Linked DNA regions of Cricetulus griseus. The protein of the gene in region 1 interacts with the protein of each later gene in a biochemical or structural test. Links are inferred from orthologs where the notes say so. Each region holds a gene or a part of one and is shown in the gene's direction. Other genes may lie near its edges.

Region 1 (3,515 bases):
ATAGACTTCAGGAGATAGGAAAGGGCAGTGTAGGAAACTAATTCTAATAGCAGAGTAGCAGTTTGATTAGAAGTAGAATAAAAATAAGATTGGACAGTTGAGATCAGCTGAGTAAGTGACCCCTCTCACCTTTGGTCTCATTGTGAGTTATATATACATAGTGCCTCCCCCATGTTTTTTATTATGTGTATGTATGTGTCTGTGCTTGTGTGAGTACAAGTGCCTGTGGAATCCAGGAGTTAGTTGGATTTACAGATGTGAGCTAGAGGGTTACTTGTATTTATGAGTTGACAGATGTGGGTGCTGGGCACTGAACTCACTTCTCTAAAAAGCAGTGCAAATTCTTTAGTTGCTTGGCCATCTCCAGCCGCTTGAATATCCACTCCTAATTGCTGATGGACATGAATTGTTTAAAGATGGGGAGCCTTTTATCGTGACTGAAGAATGTCATGTTGAAGAAGCAAAAGTAAATGTATTGACTGACACTGTATAGCAAATAAGATAGAACTAAATCCAATGCCTAAGACTAGAGCAACAGGAGGATGTTGTGTGATTCAGGGAATAAGCATTGGCCCCTTTGTTGAAGCACTAGAAGGTTTTTATCTTGCTTCTTAAACCAGAAGCCCAAGGGATGTTGCTGGCAAGTTGTTGCTCATTATGTGTCTAGGTGTCTAGAGAAAAGTCAGTTCCGAGTCTTAGCATTGTGTAGTAAGGATCAGCTTGGGTCAGCAAACTTTAAATTTGAGGTTTTTTTTTTTTTTTTTACTTCATTTGATACATGTAAAAGCAGGGTGACCATATATGTTAATTTCCTTAGGGTAATCTTTCCTAGGTTGTGTCTCTCCTGCCAGTCTCACTAATAGTAGTACCTAAATTCTCATAGGTATCCCCTGAGTATACAAATTTAACTTCAAAAGAAAATATTTTTGTAAATCTTTTGAAAAGATGAAATTCTAGGGTGATAGCTCAGTTGGTTAACGTGCTTGTTATGCAAGCATAAGGACTTGAGACTCATCTCCAGCACTCATAAGAGCCAGCATGGCTGTGTGTGCCTGTAACCTCAGCATGGGATGGGGGATGGTGGGGTGGGGACAGATGGAGCCTAGGAACTTACTGGTTAGCCATTCTAGCCAGCATAGAGGGCTTCAGGTTCAGTGAGTGACTCTTACTCAAGGGAACAAGGTAAAGAACAATCTAGAAAAGCACTGAGTCCAAACTGCCCCTCCCAACCCCCTTCAGGCATCTACATGCACCTGTACACATACATATGCATATGACACATAAGTAAGTACAGTCTCTGAAAAAGGACAAAACTCTTTATATCATTTCAGCAGTAAAAAACATTTTCAAGCTAATAATCCTATATACAAAGTTAATAATTATTCTTAAGATAGATTTTATTATACACAGCCTTTTAATTTCCTAATTGATTTTTATGTTCTCTCAAACAGGAGGCAGACAGTAACAAGTACTCCTTGCTGGATTGAGCTTCATCTGAATGGCCCTCTGCAGTGGTTGGACAAAGTATTAACTCAGATGGGATCCCCTTCAGTGCGATGCTCAAGCATGTCATAAAGTCAATCACCATTTGAGTCTATGGAAAGACTTCATGTAACAACTCTTCTGTCATAGTATTTGTGTATGATCCCGTGGACTGTTTGCTATCCAAAAATTCCAGAGTGAAAACAGCACTTGAGGTCTCATCAGTTAAAGCACCTTGTGGAATCTGTTTCCTATATTTGAATATTAGATGGGAAAATTAGTGTCTAGAAGTGCCCTCCCCAAAGTGGGAAGAGAAGACTTAAAGACTTAGTGATGTCTTGTTGGGCATAAGACAGAGTCCCAAAGGTTATTAATTACAGTAGTAGTTGTGTATACAGGTAATGTATCAAGACCCAGTATTGCAGTACTCTGCTGTCTGTATCCATTCTTAGTTTCCATAACTGAGGTGTGTGTGCTGCTTCTTGGTCTAGGCAAGCCTTTATAAATTACAGTACCTAATCTGTTATTCCCACTTCGCCGTTATTTTTGTGTCTTTTTTAATATATAATATATATATATATTAAGATTTTCAAATTATCATTTAGAAGCAGATTTTCCTTGTAGAAACTAATTTTTCTGCCTTTTACCAAAAATAAACAAACTTGGGGGAAGAAAAGTGGATTAGCTTGGAAATCCTTGACCTTAATGTTTCCAGTGGATCTTAGCAGTCATTCTTTCTTTGTGTGTTTATTTCCTGCTGAATTGCATTAGAAGGAAACCTTACTGGAAACTTCGGGCTCTTCATCCCATTTCTTTTCTGATACATAACAGTACAGCATGATGTCATTGTGGTAAATAGCTGCACTGATGGCTGCTGGGGTAGTTAATCCTGGGTCCAGTGAAGGTTTGTGGGGTGTAAGTCTTGTCTTAGAACCAGACTTCTACAGATGATAACAGACTTTGTGAAACTTGTTGGTCTATTGATTAACTTTTGTCTCAAAACATGAACAGGTGGCAGTATGATTATTTTCAGGGCTATTCTGGAATCATCTCAGTATGTGTTTCCTTCTTCCAAAGCCAGTATAATAATAAAGGATCTTTCTGTAAAGGCAGCTGACCTTCTGCCTCATGGCACTTAACTACCAGGTTGTATTACAAAATGGACCTTTGGCAAAAGTACTTGCTTCTGCAAATACGTAGAGTGACGCTGGGGTACGGTCAGAAGATAGGGGTCATCTGTTTTTTTAAAGTGTATTGTGTGTAATTTATAAAGGGAATGTTGTATTACCTAATTTCAAATTTTTAAAGATTGGGAACTAAGCTGTTTATCAAGATTTTTAGCCTGCAGTTCCCTGCAGTCTGAGCTGTTCTTGACTAATCCTGGGTGTGTGTAGGTCACTGACCTTTCTGCTCTGCAATAAGGGGATACCAGCTTGTTCTGTCGGTCCTCCGTTCTGCAGCACACAGCAGTCATGTCCAGTCTTGACTCCCTTCTTGTTTGCAACTCCGTACAATGGAAAATACTTCCTGATCCCCTTTTTGTAAATTTGAATATTTTTGCAGACAAATACCTTTGGTACTTAACTCTTTGAAACCATACTTACATGTATGTACAGGTGTCATTTTCGATGCTTTTCAACATTTGGTTGTTTTGTATTTGATATTTCCCATTTTCCTATATTTGTGTGCGTATGTATGTGTTCATGTAAATTTGGTATAGTAATTTTTTATTCAAATATTTATTGTTCACCTGTTAATGTGCCATGAACTTTCTTAACCTTTGGGTGAAGGTGAACAAGATAGCTCTAGTTCCTGCCTTTGCTGAGATAGCCGTTGATTTAACCCGTGCTTAAATGTCTGTGGGAGGTAAACAGGGTACTGTCTAGAGAATGGCAGATAGGATGCTTCTGGTAAAACATGGGGGAAGGCATCTGGGAAAGCGATTCTTGAGCTAACACCTAACCTAGAAGGAGCGAGCCATGGAGCATTCGAAGAGCTGAAGGAGATCAGCACTGCTGGGACAGCATCAAACC
Region 2 (4,275 bases), about 160 Mb from region 1:
TCACCGGGTGATTCTTTGAGAGGTTCCGGTTGTATGGGCACCTGGATTTTTTTTTTTTTTCTCTCTCTCGTATCTTCTCATCATAAGGACAGCCTGTCCTGAGTATTTCGTGGTGTCCTTATGCAGGGACCTGGAATGCATGCTGTGGTGTCCTTATCATAGGGGGCCAGGCACTTCGGTCGTGTGGAGACGCTAGGGTGCTTTGAGACGCTCTTGTATCCAGACCCCAATGTTTTGTGGCATCCTTGTCATGAGGGGGCACCTGGGGTCCTTTTTATGAGTGCAAACTCTGGGGTGTCGCGTGGCGTCCCGGTCCTGTAGAGAACGACGCCCAGCAGTATGGGGAGTGGAGGCTATTTCCCAGTTATCTCCGTAGAATGGGGACCCCGGGACCTAAGGAGGCAGCGGCGCAGATCTACTGCGGACCGCCACTCAGCTGGTCTGCGGTTGTGGCAGGGGCCTTGTGGGTTTCGGGGCCCCAAGACCGTGGTGTCAGCAGGACCGGAGACTTCCCAGCCGCGCAGGAAGCGGCCTCGGCCGGAAGGGGGGCCCCAGGCGCCTCGCTGCAGCCGCCTCCAGCGGCCTTCACAAGGCGGGGCCGAGCGGGACCGAGTAGGGCCGAGTGGGGCCGAGCGGGGCCGAGCGGGGCCGAGCGGGGCCGAGCTCCGGCCCGGGGGACCCGAGCGGAGTCGAACTGTGGGCGGACGGAGCCGAGCTTGGCCGAGTACGGGCCGGGCGTAGCCGAGCGCCACCGAGCCCGGGAGGGGGAGCGCGCGTTCTTGGAAGAGCCGGCCCGAAGCTGGTCACATTCCTGGCCCTCACTCCGGCTGAGGCGGACGCACAGCAACAAACAACGCGGGAGGCGGGGCCGGCGCGGGCGGGGCGGGGGTACGGGGCGGGGCGCGCGGCGGCGTGAGCTCAGCTCCCGGCGCTCAGTCCGAGCCGGAGCGAGCCGCCCGAAAGATGTGCGCCGAGCGCGCCGAGCCCCGCGCCGCCGCCGCGCTCTGAGCCGCGGGCTAGAGCGCCTCCGCCGCCCCGGGGCCGGCGCGCGCGGGCGCGGGCGGCCGGGAGCCGGGCGGCCGCGCGGGCGGGCAGGCGGCGGGGGCCAGCGGCGGGCGCGACGCGGCCGGCCAGCACCGCGGGACGAGCCCGAGGGCGCCGCGCGGTGGGAGGAGCGGGGCAGCGCGGCCGCGCCGCGCGAGGACGGCCCGGCGGGCCCCGCGCCCGCGCCCCCGCTCTCCCCGGCCCCTCGGCTCGGCCGCCGCGGCGATTCGCGCCTCGCGGCCGGCACCTGCCGCGCGCGCCCCGCGAGCGCCCGGGCCGCGAGCGTTGGCGTTGGCGTTGGCGGCGCGCGCCGGGGCATGCCGCGCCTAGAGCCGCGGGGGGCGCGCGGGGGGCCGGGGCGGCGGCGGCGGCGGCGCGGCGCGGGGCGCGTGATGTGGCGCCGGGCCCGGGTGGCGGCGGGCTCCAGCGGCGGGACCCCTTCGCCCGCCCGCCTTCGCCTTCGCGCGCCCCGGGCGAGGCCGAGGCCGGGGCCGTGATCGGCCGTGAGCCGGCGACGGGGGGCGTCGGGGCCGCGGTCGCGGTCGGCGGCGGGGTGCGCGGGGCGGCGGCGAGGCCGTGGGGGCCCGGGCGCACGGGAGCGGCCCGGGGAGCCCGATCGCACCATGGAAGCGGCGGCGGCCGGCCGGGGCGGCTTCCAGCCGCACCCGGGGTTGCAGAAGACGTTGGAGCAGTTCCACCTGAGCTCCATGAGCTCGCTGGGCGGCCCGGCCGCTTTCTCGGCGCGCTGGGCGCAGGAGGCCTACAAGAAGGAGAGCGCCAAGGAGGCGGGCGCGGCCACGGTGCCGGCGCCGGTGCCCACTGCCGCGGAGCCGCCGCCCGTGCTGCACCTGCCTGCCATCCAGCCGCCGCCGCCCGTACTGCCCGGGCCCTTCTTCATGCCGTCGGATCGCTCCACCGAGCGCTGTGAGACCGTGCTGGAAGGGGAGACCATCTCTTGTTTCGTAGTGGGAGGCGAGAAGCGTCTGTGCTTGCCGCAGATCCTCAACTCGGTGCTGCGCGACTTCTCACTGCAGCAGATCAACTCGGTGTGCGATGAGCTGCACATCTACTGCTCGCGCTGCACCGCCGACCAGCTGGAGATCCTCAAAGTCATGGGCATCCTGCCCTTCTCCGCGCCCTCGTGCGGGCTCATCACCAAGACGGACGCCGAGCGCCTGTGTAACGCGCTGCTCTACGGCGGCGCCTACCCGCCGCCTTGCAAGAAGGAGCTGGCGGCCAGCCTGGCGCTGGGCCTGGAGCTCAGCGAGCGCAGCGTCCGCGTGTACCACGAGTGCTTCGGCAAGTGCAAGGGGCTGCTGGTGCCCGAGCTGTACAGCAGTCCTAGCGCCGCCTGCATCCAGTGCCTCGACTGCCGCCTCATGTACCCGCCGCACAAGTTCGTGGTACACTCGCACAAGGCCCTGGAGAACCGGACCTGCCACTGGGGCTTCGACTCAGCCAACTGGCGGGCCTACATCCTGCTGAGCCAGGACTACACAGGCAAGGAGGAGCAGGCCCGCCTTGGCCGCTGCCTGGACGACGTGAAGGAGAAGTTCGACTATGCCAACAAGTACAAGCGGAGGGTGCCCCGGGTAAGTGTCTCCAGGTCTTGGGGGTTGGCAAGCCATTTGTCCAAGGAGGGGAGGCGGTGGTCCTCTTGGGCTGGGCACTCTGGCTTCTAAATGTTGGGGCACCTGGTTCGACCTTATTTGGCTTTGGGTTGTTTTGATTTCAGGAAATTAGGGGCCTAGTTAGTCTCCTGTGGGTAAGGCCATAAGGCCGCCTTGGTGCTGTCTGAGCACTGTAGAGTGAATGGAAAAAAGCCCTCTCAGGACACATAGCCCTTGACCACATAGGCTACGCTCTGAAGGTCTGAGAAAGGCTGCCTCAAGCTCTGGGAGCTTGGACTTCCTGAAGAGAAAGAACCCAGGCTATGACTTTATGGCCCAGATCTCCATGGGATCTTGACAGATGAGAATGAAGTTTGCCCCCTTTTTTTCTGATGACAGGGATGTCTTCTTGTGGTTTCCAGCTGATACGCCTTGTATGTTTACTGGCTCTCTTGTTTTGTGTTTAAATCATGGGGCAAAGACACTAAAATGAAGCTAGCTAGTTGTCCTGGCAGAGACTTGGCACTTGCAGCCCCTAGAGTCTCCTGTTGGTGCACCTTGAGGACCACTTGGCCTGGTCAATGGTAGCAGAGTCTTGCTTCTCTGACTCAGAGTTGCTGATAGTATGCAGTTTCTTTAGACTCACCCATTTCCTTCTGTTGCTCTTGCACTTGGTGTGGAGGCCTGCCTGCCTAGGCTGTGCCGTGTGTGCGTCACGGGCTTTGTGGGATCTTCTTGGCATGACCCTGGCCACTTAGTACCAAAACCTTTCACTGGGGTCCAGAGGAAGTTTCTTTGCATATGCATCCTAAGTATCTGTAACTTTTAAATATCCCTGCTTATTAAATTGCACACACAGAATGCTGCATTGGCTCAGCTATTCTTGGGAGACCTAATTAATTCAGCTATTGCATCAAACTTTTTTTTTTTTTTCTAAATCTGTGAATAGATGCTGCAGCCCGGTTTTCTCTGGGCGCCCCTCCAGCAGAGTGTCAGAATCGTGGGGGGAAGGGGCTCTGAAGAAGGACCGTTGCCTAATTCTTTGGGGGCTGCAGAGAGTGTGCACATACTGTGTGTCCTATGGCACTTTTGCCCCAGCTAGGGCAGTGCATGATGGCAGGCGGTTGCAGGCGGGTCTTTTCAAGTGGACTTGGCAGTAGGCAGGCTGATGTGGGTCCTACCAGTGGAGGCCTATCTGGGCTGTCTGCACCCTTGTCAGCTAATGTAGCCTGAGGTAGTCATTTGAATATAGCGACTGGTGGACTTGCTGGGGCTACTGTAGAGATGTGGGACTAGTGAGGATGAGCCACTGGGAAGCATTCACACCTCTTATCTTGGGAGCAGGCAAGGAGTCTTGTCTGAGTTGGGTGTGTCTGTGTTTGTGTTTGTCTGCTTTGGGTCATGTGTGTTTGTGGTCTTTCTATCCAGGTTTAGGGGACTGCCATGGTCCCTTTGTCCCGGCCACTATTGAATGGAGTAGACTTCTGCCTTCTCTGTTTACAAGCTTGGTGATTCTGGTGTGGGGTCTTTGGGCTCAGAGGAGGTGGCTCAGATGCTCGTGCCAGCACTATGGGGTTAGAAGACAGGATAGTGCACTGAGCCATGGTCATGTGCCTGGGTC
Region 3 (3,515 bases), about 120 Mb from region 1:
AGGTTGTTTCCAGGTTCTGGTTATTACAAATAATACTGCTATGAATATAGTTGAGCAAAATGGAAAGATCTCCCATGCTCTTGGATAGGTAGGATCAACATAGTAAAAGTGGCAATCTTGCCAAAAGCAATCTACAGATTCAATGCAATCCCCATCAAAACCCCAACACAATTCTTCATAGACCTGGAAAGAACAATTCTCAACTTCATATGGAAAAACAAAAAATCCCAGGATAGCCAAAACAACCCTGTACAATAAGGGAATTTCTGGAGGAATCACCATCCGTGACATCAAGCTCTACTGTAGAGCTACAGCAATAAAACCAGCTTGGTATTGGCATAAAAACAGACATGTGGATCAATGGAATCAAAGCGAGCAAGCTCTCTTATCACTGAGCCAAATCCCCAGTTTTTAAAAACTTCATTAAACTCTCTAAATTCCAAGCAGTGGTTGGTACCTGAACTACAGCATCCAGGGATATCATGTCAGGCCCTTCCCCTTCAGAACTGCCTTTCTCAAGCAGATGAGCAAAGAGGAGCATGGTGAATGTTAGGAGTCAGGAGTAGAGTGTGAACCGGGTTGGGTGAGTAGCCATTTATTTGGTAAAGAAATGCTAGGGAAAGAGCAGGATGAGTCAAGAGCCTGTTTATACTACAGTAAACTCTGAAAACTGGCTCCTTGCAAAGTGTCTACATTTTGGTTTGTGCTTGAATTGTTTCAGTGCATACCCCTTCCCATGAGCAGTCTGCATCTTGACATGATATGTATGCTGCAGATGTCTTCAGCAAGGCGTGTTTGGTATTTGGTAGTAAAATGTGACAAGATACCTCCTTCCCTGTCCTCTGTTGTAGTGTGGTGAGTCCTATAGATGGCAAGTCCATGGAATCTATAACAAATGTGAAGATATTCCACGGATCTGAGTATAAAGCAAATGGAAAAGTCATCAGATGGACAGAGGTAAGAAGTGAATATTGGTGCACTTGCCCTGCTTTCAATCGGCTCCCATATTGACCTCTGACTTCCTCACACTCTGCATGGTACTTGTGTGACTAATACATATTAAAAAAAAAAAAAAAGTAAACTTTTTCTAAGAAAAAAGCTTCTCTGAGGAAAAAATACCTTTTCATTTATCTACTATATTTAATTCCCTTGAATCTATCTTAGTTCACTGGGAAAGAAAGTCCAAAAGTACAGCCTGCTACACTCTGATGTGTCTTCTGCTTTGGAAGGCAAGAAGGCTGTCTCTGGTGGTCACCTTCTGGGCTGTATCCTTCAGAAAGCTGAGTATGTCATACTGCCCTCAAAGACCACTGAATAACATGGTCTTTAAAAGACCAACAGTTGGGCTGGAGATGTCCCAGTGATTAAGAACACTAGCTGGCCTTCCAGAGGTCCTGAGTTCAATACCCAGCAATCACATAATGGCTCACAGCCAGCTGTAATGAGATCTGGTGCCCTCTTCTGATCCACGGGGATACATACAGACAGAACACTATAATAATAAATAAATATTTGAAAAAAAAAAAAAACAATTCCCAGTAAGATTTGTCAAAATTACAAAGGAGGGCTGGAGAGATGGCTCAGAGGTTAAGAGCACTGGCTGCTCTTCCAGAGATCCCGAGTTCAATTCCCAGCAACCACATGGTGGCTCACAACCATCTATCATAAGATCTGGTGCCCTCTTCTGGTGTGTAGGCAAATATGCAGACAGAACACTGTATATGCAATAAAAATAAGTAAATTAAAAAAAATTACAAAAGAAACAAGTAATGGTAAGTTCCTGGTTGAAAGCCAGATCTAGCCAGCTCTTAAGCAGCTAGCCAGGTGTGGCCACACACTTGCAATCCCAGTACTTGGGAGGCTGAGGCAGGGAGATCACAAATTTAAGGCCAGCCTGGGCTACCAACATCCTACATCAATTAATTTTTTTAAAAGTCCTACACAACCCCTATCCATAGGCTTGGAGTAACCTCATGAGAGTGGCAAAAAGATGGTCAGAGTCAGGGGACCAGCACATCTGCTGTGAGGTAGTGCCATCTCTGTGTGATGGGAAGCTCAACAATATGGTCGCCTAAGCAAGACCCTCGTGATGACAACAGGAGTTGACATGACAAAGTGGACTGGGGAGTGTCACAAGGCTCCACTCTAGATGAAGGGCTATAGGCAGTTAATGGCTGCTGAGTGAGGGAGAGGCCAAGTAGCCATTATGGAATCTGTTGAAAGCCAGGTGTAGTGGTGAATGCTTGCAATCCCAGTACTCAGGATGAACATGAGGATTGCTGCCAGTCCAAGGCCAGCCTAACCTCTCCCCAGTGTGTTCCAGGCCAGCCAGGACTACACAGACAGGAAAGGATGGAGAGAGAGGAGGGAAGGAAAGTAGGTCCTTTGAAAAGCAGAACTCAATCTGTGAGCTGTGAGCTGTGAGATGGCTCCGTGGTTGAAAGCCCTTGTCATAGAGCCTGACAATCCTGAGTTTGATTTCCAAAATGCATGAAAAGATGGAAGGAGGGCTGGAGAGTTGGCGCAGAGGTTAAGAGCCCTGGCTGTTCTTCCAGAGGTCCTGAGTTCAATTCCCAGGAACCACATGGTGGCTCACAACCATCTGTAATGGTGCCATCTTCTGGCCTGCAGGCATACATGCAGACAGAAAACTGTACATAATAAATACATAAATCTTTTTTTAAAAAAAAAAAGATAAAGGAGAGAACTGACTCCACAAAGTTGTCCTCTGACCTACACAGACATACCATGTCACGTGTACCTGTACATGTATGTACAACCTCGGTGTCACCATCAGGAACATCATCTCTCTCCTTTGAAAGAGTCTTTTGTTGGCCTAGAGGTCACCAATTAGGTTGGACAGTGAGCCCCAGGTATCCTCCTGTCTCCCCCTCCCGAGTACTGGGATTTTGGGAGCACACCACCACACCAGCATTTTTATATGGGTTCTGGGGGAGTCAAGCTCAGTTCATCATCGTATGAGGCAAGAACTTCACCAACTGAGCTAGATCCCAAACCCAGAAAGCTTTAAGTTCCGTGAAAACTGGCACGGCAGTATGACCCCTGTAGTCACAATGACTTGGAAACTCAGCCAGGAGGCTATCTTGAGTTAATAAGAAATTAGCCTGGTAACCGGGCAATGGTGGTACACACTTTGAATCCCAGCACTTGGGAGGCAGAGGCAGAAGTAGAGGCAGGCAGATCTCTGAATTCGAGGCCAGCCTGATATACAGAGTGAGTTCCAGGACAGCAAGAGCTGTTACACATAGAAACCCTGATTCAAAAAACCTATTAAGAAGGAGGAGGAGGGGGAGGGGGGGTGGGGGGGGAAGGGGGCTGAGAGATGGCTCAGAGGTTAAGAGCACTGACTGCTTTTCCAGAGGTCCTGAGTTCAATTCCCAGCTACCACATGGTGGCTCACAACCATCAGTTATGAGATCTGGTGCCCACTTCTGGTGTGCAGATATACATGGAAGCAGAATGTTGTGTACATAATAAATTTTAAAATCTTTATA
Region 4 (4,292 bases), about 160 Mb from region 1:
ACAAAAGTCTATTTTACAAGTCTGAGTTCTAAAAAAAGAAACACTACTGTGTTAAAGATCTTTCTCTAATTTCTGGCTGTTTCCTAGTTAAGAAACTCTGCTTCTCTATGGAAACAATAGGACATTCCCTGGAAAATTGTAATGAAGACAAAGAAAATAATTACATACTTTATCTAAAGAATTTCAGTATGGTGCCTAGTGATTCAGTAAAGTCAGAGTGTGAGAATGAGTGTAAGGGGAGTACTTAACCCTGTCTATGGTCAGACATTTAAGTACCATAAGTGGGAATAAGTGGGAAGTAGAACTATTAGTGTAGTGCCTTGCTGAGCCATATTGGATCCTGAGTCAAGGAAAAAAACAAAAACAAAAACAAAAAAAAAACACTGATTATGTCTTTATTTAAACATTGATGTTTTATTTAATAGATATTTTTTTAGCAATTAAAATATTTAAGGTACTTATCTTTTTGTTTTTTTTTGTACTTTCTTACATGTTGGGCCTGAGATCTTGGTGCTTGTTTCCTTGCCTAAGGCAAGAATTATATTTATGTACAAAGGTTTACTTACCCATTGGCAGTCATCCTCATTTTACTAAATTATTACTATGTTAGTTTAATGTTAGCCTACTTGGAATTTATACACAAGTTCTTAATAAAATTGGCCTTGAGAATTTTTATTAATTCAAAACTAGCCTTTTCTCTTGGTTAACTGAAAGACTGTATTTTAAATGAGTTGACTCACATGTGATCTTCAACAATTTAGAATCTTCAAGTCTTTCAAAAACTAGGCTAGTATTTGATTGACACAAAATTATACTTGAAGTAGATGGGAGTTTCCATGTAGGAGAATTATAGTATCATAGTTTGGGTTTTCATTGCTGTGAAGAGACATCTTATGACCATGGCAACGCTATAAAGAAAACATTTGAGTGGCTCAATTACAGTTTCAGAGGTTCAGGCCATGGTGATTATGATGGGGAGCATGGCAGTGTGCTGGCAGACATGGTGCTGGAACTGAGAGTGCTACGTCTTGTAGGCAACAGGAAGTCAATGGCAGTCATGCTGAGGGATGCTTGAGCAAAAGAGACCTCAAAGCCCACCCCACAGTGACACACATCTTCCAGTAAGGCCACACCTCCTAGTAATATCACCCCTTTGGGGGCCATTTTTTTTTTTTTCAAACCACCACACAGGAAAGTTAAATGGTGGTTGATGGTTAAGACCTGTGAAAAACATGAATGGTTACATCTTGGATTGTTTTGTAAAGTACTGGAGGTCTTGAGTTTGATATAAAGTCCAGTAGATATATAAGTGTAGATATTAAAGCAATCTTAAATATGCTCCATTGGGTGTGTGTGGTGGTGAGGAGGTATTTTGCCTGTGGATATTTAGTTGTGCTATACGGATGGTAATTTGTTGGAAAAGTTGTTTGTTGTATTGTATACAGTTTGATTTGTTTTTATCTATATGCTGCAGCTTTTAAAAAATGACTACAAAACGAAGTTTGTTTGTGCGGTTGGTGCCATGTCGCTGTCTACGAGGAGAAGAGGAAACGGTCACTACTCTAGATTATTCTCATTGCAGCTTGGAACAAGTTCCCAAAGAGATTTTCACCTTTGAAAAAACTTTAGAGGAGCTCTATTTAGATGCTAATCAGATTGAAGAGCTTCCCAAGGTACATTAATACTGTCAAGAATTACATTAGATAATTTCTGTTCATAGATGTTTACATTCTTAATATTGTTGTACACAAGTGTTTCCATTCACTGGCTTCATCTTACTATAAGCACAATTCAAAATGATAAAGATTTTTAAGCCTCTGTTTGAGTTATTTAAGTACTTGTGTGAATAACTTAAAATTTCATTTTTACTTGAAGCATTTTATAACCATCAAAATAGATAACATATCTATTCAACTTCTGGAGCCATTAGATTTAGTCAAAAAACTGAAATTTCACTGTCTAAGCCCTCTATATGCAGCATTATAATTGGGGCTAATTGTAGAATTTCAACTACCACATCATGCTTCTATGGTTCTATAAATTTTAGAGGTGGAACCCTGCTTCCCTCCATTTTGTCTGGAATTGATTTGGAGAACATGCATCTCTGAAATGTAATAACAACTGGAGGGGAAAGATTGCTGTGTTTTGTTGTTTTTTTTTTCTCAGATTACCACTGTACTAAATTTTTTTAGTATGCACTTACTTTCCTTTTATTACCTGTATTTGTTTTCATGTTTTATAAAAAAAAGCTGCAGTAGCTTTAAATTGTTTATTAGGGTTATAGCCATCTGAATGGCTATGTTTGTTTGTTTGTTTGTTTGAAGACAGGGTGTCACCTTGTAGACTAGACTGACCTCAACTCTGAGATCTGCCTGCCCTTGCCTTCCAAGGCCTGTGGTTAAAGGTGCATACCACAATGCCCTTTGAAGCTGTAAATGGAGACTTGAAATTAAGTGGCTTAAAAAACTGGTTAGAGCTGGGCATGGTGGTGCTTTAGGGAGGAAGATCTTTAGTTGAAGGCCAGTTTGAGCTACACAATGAGTTCTGCCTTGGCCTGGGTCATATGTGTAGTGAGACCTTGTTTCAAAACCAGCCACTTGCAGCCACCAAACAATATGTGTTATCAGAATTCTGAAAAATAAACTGTAATTTGGACTGAGATTTGGAAAATAAAATTACAGGTGACTTAGTTAAATAAGAATTTCTGATGAATAAGAAATAAATAGTGCAAATATGCAGTATGTAGGATATACTTATACTAAAATTATTTATTTAAAATTCAAATTTAATTGGGTATCCTATATTTAATCCAGCAACCCTAACTGTAATGTAACAGAAAATAAACAATGTTGTATATAGACCTTGTTTCATGAAGTAGTTGTTTTAGATTATTTGTATGTTTGTGAACATCCTGGATGACAGTATACAAAGGCTTTTAATTGTGATGACCAATATTAAAACCATTTGAAAGTCAATGCTATGCTAGGTAATTAATTTTTAGAATATTTTGAGACAGAATCTCACTTTGTAGTCTAGGATAGCTTCAAACTTCACTGCAATCCTACTGCCTCAGCTTCCCAGATCTGGGGATTATAGGCTTGAGCCACTAAGCCCAGTTTATTCTTGATAATTTTGTGGCGAAGTCTTTAACAGCTGTGGAAAAATGTTAAAGGTGAATTGTGAATCACACTTATGTGTGATTGTAGTATCATTTATAATTTACTGTTCATCATTACTGTGTACTCCCAACAAACCCATTACTATCCATGGCTAGTTCTCTGACAGATCCTAGGTTAGTCACGAATTAGGATCTCAGCCTAGAGGCATATATACAAGAGAAATGCTGACATGTACCTACCCCAGACCTAGCACTTCGTCATTTTTCACGGGATGTTCTTCAGTATAGCTTCCTTTTTGAAATAAGCTTGATTGAAAGACAAGCTCCAGAACTTACAATGTGGTATAATAGCTGCTTACTCTTTGACAGCTTCAACAGAGAATATAGCCAAAAATGTTTTATATATTGGTTCTCAGTGGGTGCAGGTTAAAAGTATAAATCAGTCTAAGTGATTCAAATTTATTCAGATCCATAATAACATAGTGAGAACAATGTGAGGCTTTTCCTAGTGTTAATGTAGGACTAACACAGTTAGCTTTAATATGGATATTTACTGTATAAAAAATATTTCACAGGATACCCAAAGAAATGTAAAAGATAATCAAAATCCTTTCCTTTTTCCCTAGCAACTTTTTAACTGTCAGTCTCTACATAAACTAAGTTTGCCTGACAATGATTTAACAACATTACCAGCATCCATTGCAAATCTCATTAATCTCAGGGAACTGGATGTCAGCAAAAATGGTAAGTCCTCCAGATTCTTGTCCTTTCAGATATTTCATTGTTAATATTTCTGTTTTTCAAATGTTTAAAAGTATATTAGCCTCATCTAGGATCTATTTTATATAAATATACATTTAAAATTTTTATAACCTGTTTTATGCCAAAAGCAATAAAATATGGTGTCATATTCTTGGCTTAGAATTCTTTATAGTTATAAGATCTGTGATACCTCAAAACAGCTGGAAAATAAGTAGATTTTAAATATATTACTATAGTCCATGTTGTATAATAGGCCACTTAGATGTATTCCTCTAAGTTTTTACTCTGATCAACATCTTAATCATCCTACTCCCTCACCCTGCTTTGAGTCTGCTAACTGTCGTTTGCTTTCTGCTTCTGTGAGCTTGCCCTTTTAATGTCCACTGTTGGAGATCACGAGATGTTCATCTTT
Region 5 (3,515 bases), on another chromosome or scaffold:
TATGTCAATCCTGGTTAAGTTGATTATCCCTTCATTTAATTGTTCCAATTTTAAATCATTCATTGTATAATCATACAGAGACCTGACTCTCCATTGTAATAGTGTTTTCCCTTTTTTTCCCCCCTCTCTTGAGGAAAAAATTAAATGCTAACACAGATATTGGGGTTAAAGCTGAAGATCAGAGAAGCAAAGCAGCCAGCCACTAAAGAGTTATCACCTCTACCAGTGCTCAGACCAAAAGAGCCACCTGTCCTCAGACTGCATCTCCAGACTGCATCTGTTTCCTTCAGACCTTAGATTGCACTGAGCTCCTGTTTCCTCCAGCATTTTTATTCCTCTCTAGTAATGGGATTGAAGGCATGGGATACCAAGTGCTGGGATCACCTTTGTGTGAGCTGTTTCTCTTTTAGACTGGATCAATTTCATGTAGATTCAGAGTGGCCTTGAATTAACAGAGATCTGTCTGCCCCTGTCTCCCAAGTGCTGGGATTAAAAGTGTATTGCACCACTGCCTGGCCTCTGTGGTTAACTAGTGTGGCTAACATTGCACTCTTCAGGCAAGCTTTTTTGTTAGATCCTAAATAAAATATCACCAGTCTGTGTTTTGAATGACAAAGAGCCATACCTAGGAAGAGGTACTGTTTTTAAGAACTAAAGGTCAGATGACTCGGGCAAATTCAAGGAGAAGAGGAACACCTGCTTGCCAAAAGCCATGTGAGAGGGAGAATAGTGGAAATCTGGTCTAGAGGCCAGCTGTATCCAAGTCCTCGCCCTTACTGACTCAGGAGCACATCTATAAGTATGTATGGAGTTTTCAGAAACTTAATTGCAACAGTACTTGAGTTTCTTTGGTCAATAAGAACTTTAGGCTTGCCGGGCGTTGGTGGCACACGCCTTTAATCCCAGCACTCGGGAGGCAGATGCAGGCGGATGTCTGTGAGTTCGAGACCAGCCTGGTCTACAAGAGCTAGTTCCAGGACAGTCTCCAAAGCCACAGAGAAACCCTGCCTCAAAAAACCAAAAAAAAAAAAAAAAAAAAAAAAAAAAAAAAAAAAGAAAGAAAAAAGAACTTTAGGCTTGCTCTTAATAAGGTTCTTAAAATCATTGTTTGCTTTATTCATCTCATTTCTTGTCTGATTTACTATATTATTGCTATAGTATATACGATATCTAGAAACTCTGTTTTTGATGTCTTAATTATTAACCTTTTTACCCCTTGTCACTTTTCAACAGACCAGCCTCAGAATATTCTAGTCCTGGCAGACCTCTTAGCTGCTTTGTGGATGAGAATACTCCAATTACTGGAACAAATGGTGCAACATGTGGACAGTCTTCAGACCCCAGACTAGCAGAGAGAAGAGTCAGGTCCCAGCGACATAGAAATTACATGAGCAGGACACACTTACACACGCCTCCAGATCTACCAGAAGGCTATGGTATGATAACAGCAAAGGGAAAATTTCAACTTGTTTTAAGAAAGTCAGAAAACTAACTTTTCTTTTTTGTTTTTTTCAAGGTTTCTCTGTGTAGCTCTGGCAATCCTGAAACTTGCTCTGTAGATCAGGCTGTCCTTGAACTCAGATCCACCTGCCTCTGCCTCCCAAATGCTGGGATTAAAGGTGTGTTCCACCACTGCCTGGCCAGAGATTATCTTGAAAAATTGTTATTGTTGCCGAGTATAGCCAGCTTAGTCTGCAAAGCAAGTTCCAGGTACGTCAAGGCTACACAAAGAAACTCTGTCTTTAAAAAAGAAAAATATTACTTTTGTTTTCAGGTAGGGTCTTCTATAGCTGAGGCTGACCTCAAACTCACAGTGTACCCAGACTGCCCTTGAATTCCTGATGTTCCTTGCACTCATACAACACACACTGGGATTATATGTTTGCTTTACCACACATTGTTTTAGAGTCAATATGGCCTGAGGATTTAGCTTAATGGTAATGTACTTGCTAGCATGCTCAAGGCCCTGGGAAGGCCCAGTGTTCATTTTGAGTGTATAGTGGGCACAGAAGACACATACTACACTGGACACAGAGACAAGAGAGTGAGAATTAACTAATCCAGGTTTTGGGATTCTGTGTGAAAATAAACGTAAATATAAAACTCCCAATTTTTATTAAAAAGTCTGTAATGGTTAGAAAACAGTTATAACCAACAGTTTTACCTTAGCTAGTTATTTATGAACCATAATAGCTCCTATGCTCATTTATAATAAAGTGTAGTAAATATTAACCACACAGTTATTGTAGGAAGCTTGTGGAATAAAATGAGACTACTTTTCAAGTAGACACTATATAAAGTTACAGCAATACTATTGTATAGGCTTATCTTAAACCTTTAGTGTGATTTTTGGGACAGATACTAACTTCCTTTCCAGTTTAACACTGTATGTTGGCTGATGGTGACACCTAATGACCAAAATTAGAAATTACGTTTTCTAAGTTATTTTATTTTTACTAGTAAATTAAAAAAAACTATTTGTAAATAAATGATTATAACTTTATTTTAAAATAAATTGTAGCCTCTTATTTTGAAGAAAAACAAAAAACAAAAAAACTTGCTGTGTCCCGTAAGTTGGCATACTATGAAGTAAGCAATTCCAGAATGGGTAACAGACTTGTTTTTGCCGATCACATTATTTAACCTCTGAGAACCTACATTTTACCTCCTGTAAAGTGAGAGGAATAATAGTAACAATGGTGTAGGTTTGTTGCAAGAAATAAATGATCTTAATCTCTAGGGAATCATCTGACCATGTCTGGCATAAAAAGCAGGTTAGGAAAACATTTTAGAGATAATTCCCTTGGAGGGTCACTCAGGTTGTTGGGAATGAAGGTGAAATGTATGTATTTATGTCTGTCTGTATGTGTATATGTATATGTGTGTGTGTGTGTGTGTGTGTGTGTGTGTGTGTGTGTGTGTGTGTGTATATATACATATATATATATATATATATATATATATATATATTTGTTTATTATGTATACAGTGTTGTGTTCACAAACCAAAAGAGGGTATTAGATCTCATTATAGATGGTTGTGAGCCACCATGTGGGTTGCTGGAAATTGAACTCAGGACCTCTGGAAGAGCAGTCAATGCTCTTAACCTCTGAGCCATCTCTCTAGCCCTGGCTAATGATTTTTTTTTTTTACTATGGCAATTTTATACCCAAATTTGTCAGTTCTCTTTTCTGAACAGAAATATATCAAGGTTTTTACTGGGTTGCAAGCATGGTGCCACACACTTTCAATCTCAGAATGCAGGAAGCAGAGCAGAGGCAATGAGACAACTCCAAGACTAGCCTGGGCTACCTGTCAAAACTCCAGGCCATCTAAGGTATAAAATAGAAACCCTAATGTAAACAAAGCACATTACATAGTCATAAAACTGAATTAAAAAACAGTGTACCCGGGCGGTTAAGAGCAGGGTTAAGAGCACTGGTTGCTCTTCCAGAGAATCTAGGTTCAATTCCCAGCACCCACATGGCAGCTTACAACTGTCTGCAACTCCTGTT

The links.
Region 2: the proteins of Smad2 (region 1) and Ski form a complex in vitro, tested with the Homo sapiens proteins (4 studies listed by BioGRID). The link is inferred for Cricetulus griseus from reciprocal best matches to the Homo sapiens genes SMAD2 and SKI.
Region 3: the proteins of Smad2 (region 1) and Zfyve9 are reported together in a solved structure, tested with the Homo sapiens proteins (2 studies listed by BioGRID and IntAct, with this or other methods). The link is inferred for Cricetulus griseus from reciprocal best matches to the Homo sapiens genes SMAD2 and ZFYVE9.
Region 4: the proteins of Smad2 (region 1) and Erbin form a complex in vitro, tested with the Homo sapiens proteins (2 studies listed by BioGRID). The link is inferred for Cricetulus griseus from reciprocal best matches to the Homo sapiens genes SMAD2 and ERBIN.
Region 5: the proteins of Smad2 (region 1) and Smurf2 form a complex in vitro, tested with the Homo sapiens proteins (3 studies listed by BioGRID and IntAct, with this or other methods). The link is inferred for Cricetulus griseus from reciprocal best matches to the Homo sapiens genes SMAD2 and SMURF2.

What each region holds. Positions count from the first base shown.
Region 1 is NC_048595.1:163,540,389-163,543,903, reverse strand, and holds part of Smad2 (mothers against decapentaplegic homolog 2), read left to right. Parts: intron 1-1,451; coding exon 1,452-1,575; 3' UTR 1,576-3,515. UniProt on the Homo sapiens protein: Receptor-regulated SMAD (R-SMAD) that is an intracellular signal transducer and transcriptional modulator activated by TGF-beta (transforming growth factor) and activin type 1 receptor kinases.
Region 2 is NC_048595.1:1,092,113-1,096,387, forward strand, and holds the start of Ski (ski oncogene), read left to right. Parts: upstream 1-1,469; 5' UTR 1,470-1,667; coding exon 1,668-2,636; intron 2,637-4,275. UniProt on the Homo sapiens protein: May play a role in terminal differentiation of skeletal muscle cells but not in the determination of cells to the myogenic lineage. Functions as a repressor of TGF-beta signaling.
Region 3 is NC_048595.1:41,182,530-41,186,044, forward strand, and holds part of Zfyve9 (zinc finger FYVE domain-containing protein 9), read left to right. Parts: intron 1-851; coding exon 852-957; intron 958-3,515. UniProt on the Homo sapiens protein: Early endosomal protein that functions to recruit SMAD2/SMAD3 to intracellular membranes and to the TGF-beta receptor.
Region 4 is NC_048595.1:322,138,883-322,143,174, reverse strand, and holds the start of Erbin (erbin), read left to right. Parts: upstream 1-1,484; coding exon 1,485-1,673; intron 1,674-3,744; coding exon 3,745-3,862; intron 3,863-4,292. UniProt on the Homo sapiens protein: Acts as an adapter for the receptor ERBB2, in epithelia. By binding the unphosphorylated 'Tyr-1248' of receptor ERBB2, it may contribute to stabilize this unphosphorylated state.
Region 5 is NC_048600.1:119,795,846-119,799,360, reverse strand, and holds part of Smurf2 (E3 ubiquitin-protein ligase SMURF2), read left to right. Parts: intron 1-1,233; coding exon 1,234-1,436; intron 1,437-3,515. UniProt on the Homo sapiens protein: E3 ubiquitin-protein ligase which accepts ubiquitin from an E2 ubiquitin-conjugating enzyme in the form of a thioester and then directly transfers the ubiquitin to targeted substrates.